Alligator mississippiensis: one gene and its partner. Each later gene encodes a partner of the first gene's protein in a complex. Links are inferred from orthologs where the notes say so. Each region holds a gene or a part of one and is shown on either strand. Other genes may lie near its edges.

The links. Proteins that work in one complex are often made in the same cells at the same time.
Region 2: the proteins of CMKLR1 (region 1) and RARRES2 are in contact, whole or in part, in a cryo-EM structure (PDB 8ZJG), measured with the Homo sapiens proteins. The link is inferred for Alligator mississippiensis from reciprocal best matches to the Homo sapiens genes CMKLR1 and RARRES2. Residues at the interface, in NP_001135815.1 of Homo sapiens: Asp20, Tyr21, Leu22, Asp23, Ser24, Ile25, Val26, Val27, Leu28, Phe88, Leu92, His95, Tyr103, His104, Asn116, Leu119, Ile120, Met123, Arg178, Leu183, His184, Gly185, Lys186, Ser188, Cys189, Phe190, Asn191, Trp203, Thr205, His217; in NP_002880.1 of Homo sapiens: Leu34, Phe37, His38, Phe60, Thr75, Ser76, Cys77, Arg96, Leu111, Gly112, Arg113, Leu114, Val115, His116, Cys117, Pro118, Ile119, Thr133, Leu136, Arg137, Gln139, Arg140, His146, Ser147, Phe148, Tyr149, Phe150, Pro151, Gly152, Gln153.

What each region holds. Positions count from the first base shown.
Region 1 is NC_081833.1:4,564,697-4,572,692, reverse strand, and holds the start of CMKLR1 (chemerin-like receptor 1), read left to right. Parts: upstream 1-4,934; 5' UTR 4,935-5,082; intron 5,083-7,996. UniProt on the Homo sapiens protein: Receptor for the chemoattractant adipokine chemerin/RARRES2 and for the omega-3 fatty acid derived molecule resolvin E1.
Region 2 is NC_081828.1:219,304,564-219,311,467, reverse strand, and holds the start of RARRES2 (retinoic acid receptor responder protein 2), read right to left. Parts: upstream 3,094-6,904; 5' UTR 2,723-3,093; coding exon 2,558-2,722; intron 1,809-2,557; coding exon 1,704-1,808; intron 639-1,703; coding exon 540-638; intron 252-539; coding exon 150-251; 3' UTR 146-149; intron 1-145. UniProt on the Homo sapiens protein: Adipocyte-secreted protein (adipokine) that regulates adipogenesis, metabolism and inflammation through activation of the chemokine-like receptor 1 (CMKLR1). Also acts as a ligand for CMKLR2.

The DNA.
Region 1 (7,996 bases):
TTCCAGGTAGGCAAAAGTGTCGACGGCTTGAAAATTGTCAGGGGACAGGGAAAACCATTTTCTACTCACTCCTTGCCATGCCCCCAGTAACAGGACGGAGGTCTGGGAAACTCCATACAGCTTTGCCTCCTTTCCCACTGCACCCACTGGTATCCTTTAAAAGCCCAATAAAGCCCTAATATATCCAGCTAGGGCGTGTGTAGATGACATGGGCGTTAATGTAGACCGCCCAAATTAGAAAGCTATTATATATTACACATTAATGACATATTTCACATGAATTACACATCTATTATATAGTACACATTACACATATATTATATAGTACACTTTAATTGCACATATATTACATAGTACACATTAATTACACATTTTGCATGAATTACACATATATTATATAGCACACATTACACATGAATTACACATATATTATATGGTACACATTACACCTATATATTACACATTAATCACACAGATATTACGCATTAAAACCGATGTTCAGCCTGCTGATTCAGGACAGGCCACATAACTTTGCTGTCAGACTCCATCTTTTTGGTGTTTTCCATCAATTGAGCTGCTCGTATAATAGTGGTTCCAGCTTGGGTAGCCGGTCCAAGCAGAAATTACAAACTTTCCAGCAACTCCAGCTATCAGGTTGGGATCTGCTGGTATTTTATGGGTCTAGTACATCTGGTGCAGAAGTTGTCCCCTCGATAAGTATGACTTCAGGTCCCAATAAAAACCACATCAGATCAAGGGTTCTGGTAAGATTAATTTTCTAGCGGTTATTCAAGGCTGAAGTGAAGTGCTAACAGATTGGCTGTAGGGTGAACTGGTAAATATAAAACCCAGCGTTTGAGATGAAACGAAATGGGTTTGGGTGTCTGAAAACCGTCTTTGCAAAGAGCCTGACACTGCTTGTTTCTTTTATTTTTTTAAAAATCCTCTGATTTTGTTTTCTGCCTAAGTAATGTCAAGGAAACGTCTTGAATAGCTTTCTAATTCCCGAGGGTCCCAGAGGCATAACTTTTGGAAGGAATTAGATTAACGCTTATGAAAAATAAATTACAGGCTGAGTGCTCGTTAGATAATTTTGAACAAATGTCTTGATCTGCGGCAGGACTGTCAGAAAATAGAAGGGGTGGGGGGAAATCACCGGCCGTGGCATTTCAGCTGAAAACACACAATGTTATTTTCCCCCCAAAACCCAAGGAAATGAAGAGGCGCTTTCCTCGGGGCTCGTCTCAGCGCTAAGTGGACAGGCTGGGCAGGACGAAGGAGGGAGGAAGATGAAGGCAGGGAAGCGCTGGGGCTTCGTGCCTCAAAGCTGAGGCATGACGGGCCCCTCTCCTGCCGCAATACGGAGGCTCGCTCTCCCGAATTCACATGATGGACGAGACGGGCAAAGCCCTGAGGGGTGTTTAAGCCTTCAGAAGAGGGAGAGGTCATCTTTGCCCAGGGCTGATTCCAGTCCTTCAGCCTGATTTCGGGGGCCTCTGAGTCTTTTTTGAGGGGCTTGCGCAGTCCTCTTGGTGGCAAGATTTTCCTCATACACCACCGTCACACGGCCAGCGGAGCCAGTCCCACAGGCTGCCCCCAGGTGCTCCGTGCTGCTGCTGGCGCAGTGTCGCCCACGGGAACGGTGCTGCATAACGAGCCCTGCTAATTAGCGTACCCACAGCACCTTGTGAGCGGGCACCAGCTCCCCCTTTTGAGGCAGTGTGGGATGCTTGAGGGCAGTGGCACCCCTGGCTGAGCACAGAGAGGTCGCCGTGTCAGCAGGCTGAGGGAGAGCCTCCATTTTGAATGGCGCCCTTTCCAGACGGTCTCCTCCACTTTGAATGGCGATGTTTCTAGACGGTCTCCTCCATTTTGAAAGGCGCTGTTACCAGACGGTCTCCTCCATTTCGAATGGCGCCCTTTCCAGACGGTCTCCTCCATTTTGAATGGCGCCCTTTCCAGACGATCTCCTCCATTTTGAATGGCGCCGTTACCAGACGGTCTCTTCCATTTTGAAAGGCGCCGTTACCAGACGGTCTCCTCCATTTCGAATGGCGCCCTTTCCAGACGGTCTCCTCCATTTTGAATGGCGCCCTTTCCAGACGATCTCCTCCATTTTGAATGGCACCGTTACCAGACGGTCTCTTCCATTTTGAATGGCACCACTACCAGACGGTCTCCATTTTGAATGGCACCCTTTCCAGACAGTCTCCATTTTGAATGGCGCTGTTACCAGATGGTCTCCTCCGTTTTGAATGGTGCCGCTATCAGACAGTCTCCTCCATTTCGAATGGCGCCCTTTCCAGGCGGTCTCCTCCATTTCGAATGGCGCCCTTTCCAGGCGGTCTCCTCCATTTCGAATGGCGCCCTTTCCAGACGATCTCCTCCATTTTGAATGGCGCCGTTACCAGACGGTCTCTTCCATTTTGAATGGCACCACTACCAGACGGTCTCCATTTTGAATGGCACCCTTTCCAGACAGTCTCCATTTTGAATGGCGCCGTTACCAGACGGTCTCCTCCATTTTGAATGGCGCTGCTATCAGACAGTCTCCTCCATTTCGAATGGCACCCTTTCCAAACGGTCTCCTCCATTTTGAATGGCGCCGTTACCAGATGGTCTCCTCCATTTTGAATGGCGCTGCTATCAGACAGTCTCCTCCATTTTGAAAGGCGCCCTTTCCAAACAGTCTCCTCCATTTTGAATGGCACCATTTTGAACGGCGCTGTTCCAAGCTGTCTCTTCCTTTTGGCAGCTGTGCTTTATTTGTGCCCTTCAAATCCTCCCAGACGGGGGTCGATTCCAGCACTTTGCTCCTGGTAGAGCAGCCATGGACTCACGCCGGGCTGCCAGAGTCTCCGCCAGCTCCTCCGTCAGGCTTGCCTGCTTCCACGGGCTACCTCTGCACAGTCCCCAGGGCCTCGATGTGTGTGAATTTGTGCATTCGTGCTCAGGAAAAGCAGAGCGAGCGACCTCAGTTTGCCCATCGCTGCAATCACAGGACGCCCCCACCTTCTCGGTGCCTCAGAGAAGATGGCTCCCTCCTAAATGACCCCGGGCTCTGGGGCAAATTCCTTCTGGTCACCCGAGAGGGTCGTTAGCACTCTCCGTGGGGACTCGTGGCCATGTCTGGCTCTGCTGCAGGCGTGCGACCCTAGGTGAGTCTCTCAGGGCCAGAGCGTGAACCCTTTACTCGCAGGAGCGACGCTTAGTGGCAGCATTTGGCCCTTTGCCTCTCAGCACACAATCCCGCTCCCTTTCTTTCTCCGTGGCCTGTCGCATCTATTCAGACAGGCTTCCTGGAGCAGAGACCCACCCGGCGTGTCGTGCATTTGGAGCCAATGCACCTTTTGGAGGGCTCAAACGTTGGCATGTTCGCCCCCTCCTCCCTTGTAACCTTGCACTTTGTGCACCGCTGGCTCCATTCGGGGTTCAAAGTAGAGCAGCTGAAGCAAGGCTCCCTCGATTAAAAATGTGGCCGCACGCTAACTTTTGAACGGCACGCACCCGCGGGGAGAGGAGCTGGGCTGAGGAGCATGGCGGAGGCACCGGGGCCGGCGTGGGACGCTTCCCGGAGGTAAGCGCTTCACTCCTCGCGCGGGGCAGGCACCACTCCTCCCGAGGCGGGACAGGACGGGCCGCCACGTGCCTCCTCGCTCCCCGAGGTGAGGCAGTGCCATAACCGCGAGGGTATTTGCAATTGGGCATTTGCTTGCTGATGGACAGAAGAGCGCTGCAGCAGACGGCCACGACGGCATCGCTGCGTGTTCGACAAAGCCCCAATAAACAGCAGCACTAGCCCGTGGGGAGTTACAGGGAACGGTCTCTAACAAAGGCAGAGAAAAGGGTCATGATCTCGCAGTCTCCCTTCTGGAGGCCCGGGTGCTGTATCATCTTCTGTTGTAAAACTGCATTATACTGTGGGGCGGACTGAGGTGGCGCGCGCCGAAAGGGGTAGGCAGGACCAATTCGGGAACAGACCGAAGTGGTGCACTCACAGATCGCTACACCTTAGAGGGGACATCTCAGGCGCACAAGCCTTCTCCCGTGGTCCTCCAGCAGCTGAAGTACCCTGAGAGAAGGCTTGTGTGCATGAGGTTTTCAGGTAAGTATTGCAGGTGTTGGAGTTCAGGGCAGCTGGGGGGGAGCAGGTGGCGGCATGTCTCCTTGAATTGCACGGGAACTGCAAAGCTCTGCACGCATCACCCCATTCTCCTTCGCCCAGCCCCTCCTGGTGGCAGCCTTGAGGGGAAAGGAGACCCAGGGTGAAAGCAGCTCGTTGAAGAGCCCGCGCCACTGCGCCAAGCAAATAACGCTGCTAAATCCCCTGCTTTGCAGTGCGGCTGACCCTCCTGTAATCTAGATAAACACCATGTTTCTCCCTTTGGCCCTTGGAGCCTGGCTATAACTAATGCACTCAATTGCAAGATTGATTTTGCCTTAAGAGCGTGGTCAGCAGAAGCCAGCTCCTCGCGGAGCAGCGGGCATACTCTTGCTAGCAAACAGAAGCTATTAATTGATACACAGGAGTTTACAAATACAAAGTGTATTTTGGCCTGCGCTGAGTCATTAATCCTGCGTAGTTTTTATAGCAATAGCACTTTAATCACTTCTGCTTGGCTTTGGGGTTTTTTCCCACCCCTCCCCCCGTAAGGAAATGCTTTTTACACAGGTGTTAGGATCATTTTTATGCACAGGTGCCAATTGTGAAATGCTTTCCAAATGAAAACCTGTTGGGCATGTCTCTGCCTGTGCCCAGGCTGGAGGAGTACGTCTAAAACAAGCTGTGCCATGCAAATGTGGAGTTTTCTGTAGAACCTGGTAGTTACACAACTTGTATTTGAGGTGGTTTGAAATTCTTCCGTGGCATCGTGTCCAAGCGCCCTGTAGTGTGTGTTTGTGGCTGTCTGAGCCTGGGTGTAATCCAGCGCTTTACCTGTTCTCAGCTTTCACATACTTGCTTGCAAGCTGCCTGTTGCATTTTGCAGAAGAGCCACTGAGCAGCAGGAAGAGAAACGGCAAAAGCAAATAACAGCTGGTTTTAAGAGAAGAGAGGACTTCCACTGAATCTAACTGAAACAGGTCAGAGCTCACTTCTGCTCTCTCCCAGTTTGGGTTTCTTGGTCTGAGGCTTGCTCCCTGAGGTCCTGCATTTGGTAAGGTCTGTGCAGCACTGCTGAGGCTTGGAAGAGCGGAGCCCAAATCTGTGCTCCTTTGAGAAAACTTCCGCTGGGAGCTGGCCTGAGTAAGGAGAACCAGGTTCAGGTCAGAGCAAGCTCCCATTGCCTGATCCCAGCAAGTACATGGTCCTCTTGTAGTTACCACAGAAGCAACAGCTTTCTCTAAACGAATATTTCATTTTAATAAGCCTAGGAGGCTTTGGCAGAGATCAGCAGTTAGAATGATACGGTATCATTATGTATGAATTAATTATTATTGTTAGGACAGTCTCCTGCGGTTTGTGCAGTGTTTACTCACTCTGTTGCCTGCTAACTTCAGTAGGCATTTGCTTGATAAAAACTGAATTGAAAAGTATAGGTGAGCAAAAAGCTCCTGGCAAACCTGTAGGTGAATTGTGTCTGAGCAGCCACAGCTTTTCTCAGATTTGCTCCATTTGAGGAATATACTCAGTCAATAATTTCCTGGCATGCAGCTAGGTTGTGACCTCGGCTTGTACCTGGTGGCCTTGCTTCGCTGTGTCTGCCTCCTGTTTCAGTAGATGTAATGCCAAGCTCCCCGAGCAGAACAAGATGTGAAGCAGCATGAAGGAGCTTGCTGTCACCCCCGATCATTGGGATCGGGGGCTCTCTCTTATTATGTGTGTACAGCCACTTGTACACTTAATCTTGCCAATGGAATCACAGAGCTGGAGGAGACCTCCAGGGTCACCCAGTCAGTGGGGGTTCAGTCATCCTGAACCATCCCAAACTGATGCCCATTCAACCTCTTCTTGGAAACCTCCAATGAAGGAGATTCCATCTCTTCCCTGGGCAGCTTGTTTCGCTGTCCTATTGCTATTACAATTAGGAAGCTTTTCCTGAGATTTCATTTAGATCTGCAGTGCTGGGTGAGCATTGCAAACTGGACCTAACAGCTTGGAGAATTCAGCCCCCAGAATCAGCTTGCCAGCCAAGACTGGAAATAGCCAAGACTGAAAATTCAGGGTTCTCTTCTTGTGAATAGTCACTAACAAATGCTTAAAATTTGCTAGGTTTTTGGTTGAAGCCGTGTCGGTCTAAGGACATAGGCAGGCGAGGTTCTTTGAGTAGACGTGATATCTTTTATTAGACCAACTGAGAGTAAATGGGGAAAAAAGTGCTTAGTAAACTTTTGGGTACAATCACCCTTCTTCAGGCATAGAAAGTCTCTGCTGTTCTGAGACTCCAAGGAACGCGAGAAGCTAAAAGTGTGACAGGATGTCAGTGAGAATGTAAATAGGTAGAAATGTAGGAAAACAAAAGGTAGAGCAATAACATTTGCTATTGCTTTGAACATTCCTGCCAAACAAGAGGTGTAGCAGAGTCTCCATGGCAAATGCATGTCATGGCACATGGGATCACTGACCTTATTAAAAAACTAGGCGCTTGCTAAAGAAAACACGTACAGACACATGCAAAATAGGTTTCCACACAGCTTGAGTTCCAGCTTTGTTTCCCAGGGACCCACACCCTGGATCTTCTGTACGGCACCTGGAGATACCTACTGGCTGAATAGTATACTACAGGTAAGCAAAGCCATTCATTGCAGGAGAGGTTCGTGAATGTAGTGAGGAATAGGATGAGATGAGATATGCATCTGACTCACTGAAGGAAGTCACCATTTGGCCTGCTCCAACAAAAAATTTCACAGTGCTAATTCATTGCCTTGGGCCGGTGGCTGGGGAAGTAAGTTTTTGCTGTGAAAGCCCAAGACTTGAAAAACTTGTGCAGAAGAACGCAAAGCTTGTGTTTCCTTTCAGGGCTGAAAGCAAACACATCCAAGGAGCTTGACAGTCCATTAAAAACAAAGATAACGGAGCCTCTTGGTGTCTCTCTGTTGGCAGCAGCCTGGCTTCCCGTATTTACTTGATAACATGATGGCAAGCACAGCAGGCACAAATGCCTTGAAATAAATAAGGGAGCTCTCTGCCCTGGCTCTGGGTTAATCTGGTTTGGGGAAAATGGTGCAGAGCACAATCTGGTAAATCATGCTTTTTTTTTTAATGTAATGTACTATTTACAGTACAGGGGCTGTATAAATAAAGAGCAGCCAGTAATAAGATATTTATCACTAAGTGCATCACACAGTGGTTTATTTTCCATAAATTCTGCCAAGGGTGAGCAATTTCCAACCACAGCTGCAGTCCCCTGGTGTTATCAGTGTCTGTGTTAATTAGATTTAGGTTTGTGTGTGCGGTTGCGGGAGAGAGAAGCTCTCTCTTGCGTGGCAATCAATACCTTCATCCCATATTTCAGGGTGCAGACGCCTATCTGTCCACAGGGGTGGCATGTTTTTCCTAGTGCCTGCTCAATCAATGAAGTTTAGTTCAGCTGCAGCTTCGTCACTGCGGGCAGCATCGGACTTTGAAACCCTGCTGAGATCTTCCGCAGTGGGGACCTCTCTCTAAAAGGGTCCTGGCATTGTCTAGTATTTTAGTTTCTCCTCAGACACAGCCCAGCGTGGAGAGACTGTGACAAAGCCATATCCGATGTATCTGGATAATATGAGTTGATGGGCAAGAACCTAAGAATATTGAAATGTAACCTAGTTATTGAGATGTTGTATGAGCTCTGTATAAAGTTATAATGTGAATAATGCACCATCATGTTTGAATTCGATAGGGGTGGCAGGAGGAATAAAGGGGGAATCAACACCATGACTTCCCAGCTGAGGCCATTGCGATGCATGCTCGAAAGGCGATAGTTTGGTGTCAGAGATACTATCTCTAATGTAGGTATCTAGGTATCTCCGATGCCCGATGAAGGGTGTTTGTGCGTAAAAGCTTGCAATTAAAGAT
Region 2 (6,904 bases), on another chromosome or scaffold:
GGGGGTATGGGTCAAAGGCTCTCATCTCCAAGGAGGAAGGAGTCCCTCACGGCTGTCCGGAAGATGGGCCAGGGGGCAGCTGGGGCCATGCCCTGAACATCATAGGACCCAGCCGCCCGCCCTTCGCTGCCCCATCTGTGCTCACCGTGCTAGTCCGGCTGGCTGAGGAAGGCGAACCTGCCAGGGAGGTAGACCACCTCACCGGCCTGTTCCACCCCTTGGCACTCCTGCTCGTCCTTGGGCGACAGCACCTGCAAGGCAGAGCCGGCATTACCGCAAAGGCAGCGGCTCTGAGTGCATGGGGGTGCCAGGGCTTGTGCCACATGGGTGCAGCCAAACAAGCATGTGCCCCCATGCATGCATGGCTCTAGATGTACGTGGGAGGGGTATTGCATCTGCCAGGGGCAGGCATGTGTTTGCGCACATGTGTGTGTGTGATCCTCCAGGTGTGGCACTGGGGCTGGCTCCAAGCTTTGCCAGCCCCCCAGACCCAGTCCCTGCAAGCTCGGGACAGCAGCTGGGCAGAGGGTGGCACTTACCTTGGCCAGCGGCTCCACGCTGCAGTGCATGTACTTGTCCAGCACCTCCGAGGGGCTGGTGCTGCCAAACTTGACGCAGAACAGGCAGTTGCGCTTCCTCTGTGGAGATAGACGGGGAGGCCGTGACCACCGAGTCAGGGGCAGAAGGCGCCTCTGGGGCAAGGCAGCAAGGCTGCAGCACCCCTGGCTGCCCCCTCATCTCCCAAGGGCATGGATGGGGCCCAGCAGTGTGGGGCAGGGCAGGGTGGGGTGGGATAAGGCTAGTAGCCCAGCCACCGCCGGGTATGGGGACCCAGGAGGTAAGGGACAAGGCCAAGGTCACGGTGGGAGCCTTTGGCAGAGGTCACGGAGGAAGCCCAGCCCAGGACAGCGGATGCCCTGCCTGGCAAAAACCCTGCCTAGCACCCACGTGGTTCCACAGGGATGGACTCATACACCCCCCTGGGCACTGCACACTCATGTGTTGGCACATTTACATGGTTCCAACAGGCACAGCTACATGTGCACTCACACCTCCCCTAGGCATTGCACACATGTGTGCATCAACACACACAGCTCTGCAGGTAAGTGTACATACATCCCCCCAGGCACTGCGTATACATGTGCATCAATACACACAGCTCCAAGGCATGTGCACATACATCCCCCCAGGCACTGCACATGCATATCCATTAGCACACTCACATGGCTCCAACAGGCACAGCCATGCATTCACACCCACCTCCCTCAGGCACTGTGTGCACACACACACCCACGTGCTGCTCCTATGTACAATACCTCTACTCCTGGGACTTGCACATGCACACACATCCATTCACACACTACTGCAATACACGTGCACAGGTGCGCACACTCACCCCTCCCAAGCCTGGATGCCCCCATTCACGCAGCCATTCACCCCCTCAGTACTCTCTCCTGGGCCCATCCTCTCCCACCTGCTCTGACGAGGAGGATCTGGGTCATCCTCGTCTGCCTCCTGCCCTAAAGGATGGAGACAGGGTAGGGGTGGGGATGGGGGGGAAGGAGGCAGAGAGAACTGAGAGGGAGAATGAGCACGACCCTGATCCTGCTGCCCTCGAGGCGAATTCCCAGTGACTTTAGTGGCGTGGGCATGAGCCGTGGACCCGTGGGTGCCAGGCATGGCCTGGCCACCCGCTTGCTCACCCCGTTGGGTCTAACGCTGCAGTGGTGCTTCCTCTCCTGCTGCTTCCTGCAGGTCGTGGGTACCAGGTTGAGGTGCAGACGGATGAAGGTCCCCGTTGACTGCACCTATGAGAGAGCCTGGGGTCAACAAGGAGTGGGGCAGCTCCGAGCCGGACCCCAGCACTGGCAGGGCATTCCCGGCCTTCGGAGGGGCAGCTCCTGCAGCGTCTCTGGGTACTTGGTGCTAATCCAGGTCCCACTAACTAAGTGCCTCCGTGCTGCACATTTGCTTGTGTAACACGAGGGGCGGATCCAGGCAGGTGCAGGGAGTAAACAAGCCCAGTTCTCGCAGCCTCTCCTCGCAGGTCCTGTTCCCTGGGCTCCTGGCGTATGAGTAAAACTTCTAGTTTCTTTTTGCACCAGAAACAAGGAAGCTTCAGAGATGCTCCTGCCCTCTCCCAGGCTTAGAGGGACCCGTGTTGTCCCTTGGCCTCATCCTGCCTGGCCCACAGCGAAAGCTAGATGAAACCACCCATCCTCCCCAAAATGGCTTGGGCACCCAGCAGGGACCAGTTGCCCCATCATGTGTCCCAGTAGCCCCCCAGCCCCATGTGGCTTTCCCCTCCAGGGAAAGAGGCCTTGGCTAAGCCCCGGGAGAGGAAAGCAGGCACCGTCACACCCCCAGGCAAGCATCCAGTTAATGTGTAGCTCAGCGCGGCAGGTCACTGCCCCACAGCCCAGCTTGCCTACCCTGCCCTGTGCCCGGGGAGCTCCTGCCGGGCTCCGGCTCCAGGCCCTTCTCCCCTCCGGCGGGTTGTCACCCCAGCAGTGCCCGAAAAGCCCGTGGCCTGCAACCACTGCATTGCAGCACTCACGCTCTCAACCACCCCTTCCACCGACTTCTCCTTGAAGAGCCAATGGATGTGGCCGCGGCTGTGGAAATCGGCCAGCGCCAGCTCCACCGCCTGCTCCTGCAGCGCGGACCGGCTGGCCGCCGCCAGCGCCGCCAGGCTCAGCACCAGAGCCAGCACCCCCTTCATGTCTGCGGGTGCCGAGGAAACACAACTGAGCCGCCTGCCCCGGGACAGCGCTGATAACGCCCGGTGTTGATCTTGGTCGTCTATTAACTAGCTCCCGCTCGCCACCGCCCCCTCCGGCCCCGTCCATTTGGGACTGAGGTCACGCTGCGCTGGGGAAGAGCCCGCAGACGGTGCGGGGATCAGGGCGATGCCCGCATCCTGGCAGCCTCTCCTGAGGGGATGCTCCCCCAGCTCCCACCCCAAATGACTATGCACAGGCCTTGCCTGCCCTCCCAACACCCCTCCCGAGCCGGCAGGGCTCGGCGTGCACGCTGACAACCCCCATGGATGGGGAGTCGTGCTGCTGCTGGATGGACCCTCCCCTCCCAGGCACCTTGCACAGGTGTGAATGGATGCACCTCTGAGCCCCGAGTGGGGGCCGGGACCCCCACCCTCATGCCCCCGGGTCCAGAGACATTTGCTGGCTCCACTCCCTGCAGAAACCCTCCCTGCGCCAGCGCCCGAGGCCGCTCAACGATGCCAAGACATTGCCGATCCGTCCGGGGTAACGCCAGCCTTGCTCGCTGCCGAGCCCGACGCCGCTCCGGCCCCGCGTTTCCCACCCCCTCGGCTGGACGGGTTTGTTTTTTTTCCACGGTGTTTTTCAGGAATCGGTCACTGGGTTTTTATCAGAAAACCAACAACTCTCCCTGCCCGAGAGGGGCGAGCAAACACGCCCCTGAGCTGCCGGGCCGGGCAGGCGGGGCCCTCGCGGGCAGAGGTCAGCGCCTGCGAGCGCAGGCCGGCAGCCGCTCGGGGGGAGGCGACGCGTTACAAACGCACGCGCCGGGCGGGCGGCCGCGTGTCGGAGGCCCCGCGCGTCACACGTGTTTGGAAGCTGGAGGATTCCCCGAATTAGCGGAGCAATGTTGCCGTGGGGCGGCCGAACACTGCGCACGCCGACGCCAGCTACATCCTTCCTCCGCTCCTCGGCCCTGCCCGCGACAGGCGCCCTCGCCGTGACGACGACCAGCGTCCTGGGACCTGCGTGGCCACATCTGGAGTCCGGCGTCCAGCTGTGCAGAAAAGATGCGGACACATTGGAGAGAGTCGGGGTCTTGTCACCATGACAACCCCAGGCACGTCGCGCGACGCCGGCCTGTGCGTGGAACGGCGCTGACGGCGTCTCCGTCGTACAAACGCTCAGCGCCCCTCGTGTTGGGGGCGCCGCCCTGCGGCCACTCTAGCGCGTCTCTGTGCTCCGCGTGGCTGGAGGGCGGCCGCTCTGGTGCGTCTCCCTCGTCTCTATGGTCCTGGGGGAGACACCGCCCGGTCCCGTCTCTATGGTACTGGGGGGAGAGCGCTCCCCTACGTCTCATGGCGCTCTAGCCCTCCCCTGGGGTCTCTATGGTGCCGGCGGAAGGGCGCTCTGGTACGTCTCCATGGTGCTGCGGGGGGCGCTCTAGCCCGCCCTCGGGATCTCTATGGTGCCGGCGGAAGGGCGCTCCGCCACGTCTCTATGGTGCCGCGCGGGGCCGCTCTAGGCCGCCCCCTCGCCTGCTCCACGTGCCTCCTCCTCCTCCGTGACGTCACCGCTCCCGGAAGTGCCCCTCCCTCCCACAACCAGTTCTCCCATGAGGACTGGCGGCCTGTCTTGCGCGTTCTCGCGGGATTTCCTCTTCCCGTCGTGCTTTGCGGGGCACCGCCTGCAGCTTCGGCGGGGGATCCGTGACGTCACCACGCTGCCGCGCGACGTCACAGGTCAGCGGGGCCTAGCGCGGGGCTGAGGGGCCTGGTGCGGGAGCCGGCGGGTTGCCATGGCGATGCGGTGAGGGGGGGGCAGGGGGTGTTGTGGGGGTGGGGGCACGATGGGGGAGGGGCAGGGGTGGGAAAATGCGGGGTGTTGCGGGGGACAGGGTGGTAGGTGGGGGAGGGGCAGGCAAGGGGGTGTTGTGGGGGAGGGGCTGGCTGGTAGGTGGGGAGGGGGTGTTGGGGGGAGAGAGAGGGGGCAGTGGGGCGGGGGTGTTGTGGGGCAGATGGTGGGTGGGGGAGGGGGCAGAGACAGTGTGGGGAGCAGGGGCGGGCGGGGTGGCCGGCACCCGTGGCAGGGAAGCCGTGGGGGGGGGTTGGGGCACTGCCCCCCCCCGTGCCCCCCTCCCCGGCCATCGGCACAGTGCGGGCGTGCTGCCCCGCGCTCGCCCCTTGCCCACGTCGTGCGTGGCGGGCGGCCGCGCCCGGCTCTGCGTCGAGGGGGTCCGCGGCCTCCCCTCGTGGGAGCAGCTCCCGCCAGCCGTTGCGGCGTCGCGTGGAGATCCTGGGGCACGGCGGAGCAAAGCCCCGCAAGCGCCGCGGGGCTGGGGTCAAACCGGCCTGAAGCGCCCCCGTGTGCGGGCGGGTGCCCTGAAGCGCCGTCAGCTGGGATTGATGTGACGTGGCTGGGGCTGGTCCTGCTCCGAGTGTGGGGGGGTTGGACTGGACGTGACACCCCCCCCCCCCCGAGGTCCCTTCCCTCGGTGTCATCATCCTGTGACACCTCTTGGCTAGCGTCCCCCTTGCAACGTGGATGCCGGGCCCAGTCCGCTGGCCGAGCTCCAGTCTGAGGCCTCCCTCCGCTGCCTTTTGTAAGTTCGAGGTGTCTCTGGTTCCGGCTGGGGTCCGGCCGCGTCGGTGGAGGGGGCGCGGGAGGGCTGAGACTGGTGGGAGCAGAACGAAAGGGCTTTGTCAGCGGAGGACGTGCGGAGGAGCAGCACGTGGCGGGGGCGCGTGGATGCTGCGTCTAGGGCTGTAGCACGCAGACAAGGCGGAGATGTGTGGGGTCGGGTCGGGGAGAGAGCGAGCAGCTGTGCGGGGTGAATAAGGTTCCTGGCCGCCTGCCCAGCGGGGATAGCGAGGGCCTGCACCCCGCGGGTATCGTGGGGGCAGGACGTGGGGTTTCCTTTCCGTGCTCTGCCGTGGCAGCGGAGAGCCCAGCCCCCTTTGCCCTTGTCCCTCTGGGAGCCAGCCCTGTCCCTGGCTGCCGGCCAGGATGAGGCCCCGCTGCATACCGGACCCTGCCCTGTTGTCTTTGTAAACAGGATGAGGGGCCAGCCGGAGGATTTTCAGTCTCCAGCGTGCCCTTTTCCTGTGGTCACTTTCTCTCCGCGTGCTCCTGTTTAACCCTTTCAGTAGCCTGAGCGTCTTCCCTTTCCTCCAGCTCATTGTGGGGTTGGTGTGCACGCACAGGGGCTTCCTACAGTGTGGTTGGGCACAGTCCGGCTTGTCTTGGGGCAAGGATTGGGAGTCGGCTCGTGTTCTGACCTCGCCTGGGCCTTGATACAGCAAGAGACGGGATGCTGGTTCCTGTCCGAGCCTCGGTTAGCCCACCTGCGACTTGGGGTGGTTAAAAGACCGAAATCACAGCGGATCTTTGGGACTTCATTCATTGCTCTTTGCAAAGTACTGTAGGACGTGCTTCCCCTATAGGAGCCTGCCCTGACGCTCGGTTCACTCCTCCTGCCCCTTATTGTAGGACCGGGGGGGGTGGTGGAAGGGGAAAACTGCTCTGTCCAGCAGAGGTTTCCACTGCTGACCTTAATGCCAGAGTCCGAGTCCCCGCTACCCATTCAGTTCTGTGGCATTTGTGCTGGTGGCCGTCGCTAGGCCAGGACTGAGTGCTGGAGCTCCCGCAGGGAGAGACTGCAGCGTCCGGGATGGTGGTGCGAGTGCAGAGGCCCAAGCACGCGTATGTGCTGCTGCCCCAAGGCATAGGAGCTCTTTTGCGGGTGGTCTCTTAGAGCTGTCGTTTTGGGGAGACAGGCTGCTGGGGCCTGTGCGTTCCTAAAGGCTGAGGCTAGCAAGCAGCCTTACAGATTTCAGAGGCAATACAGAAAAGCGACTCGAATCAGTGTTTGGGGGTGAAAACTCAGAAAGTTTTATCGTCCTCAGAAGGTACCAGCTCGGTCTCGTTAATGGTCAGCCCAACTTCCTGAAGCTTCAGGTAGCAGAGCAGTATGTGATTAATGTTCGTGGCCGTCTTGCAGCCCCTGTATTTATATCTGAGCACTCCTCACATCATACTGACTACTCTCTCTCTCTATTGAGGTATCCATCTCTACTTGTTTCTCTTGCAAAGTTCACACACCTACACTTACGTTCTTGTTATCTCTGCTTCATTAGTGAGTTATTATGTCTTATGTTGGTCTTTGAGGTGTTTTTTTTTTCAGC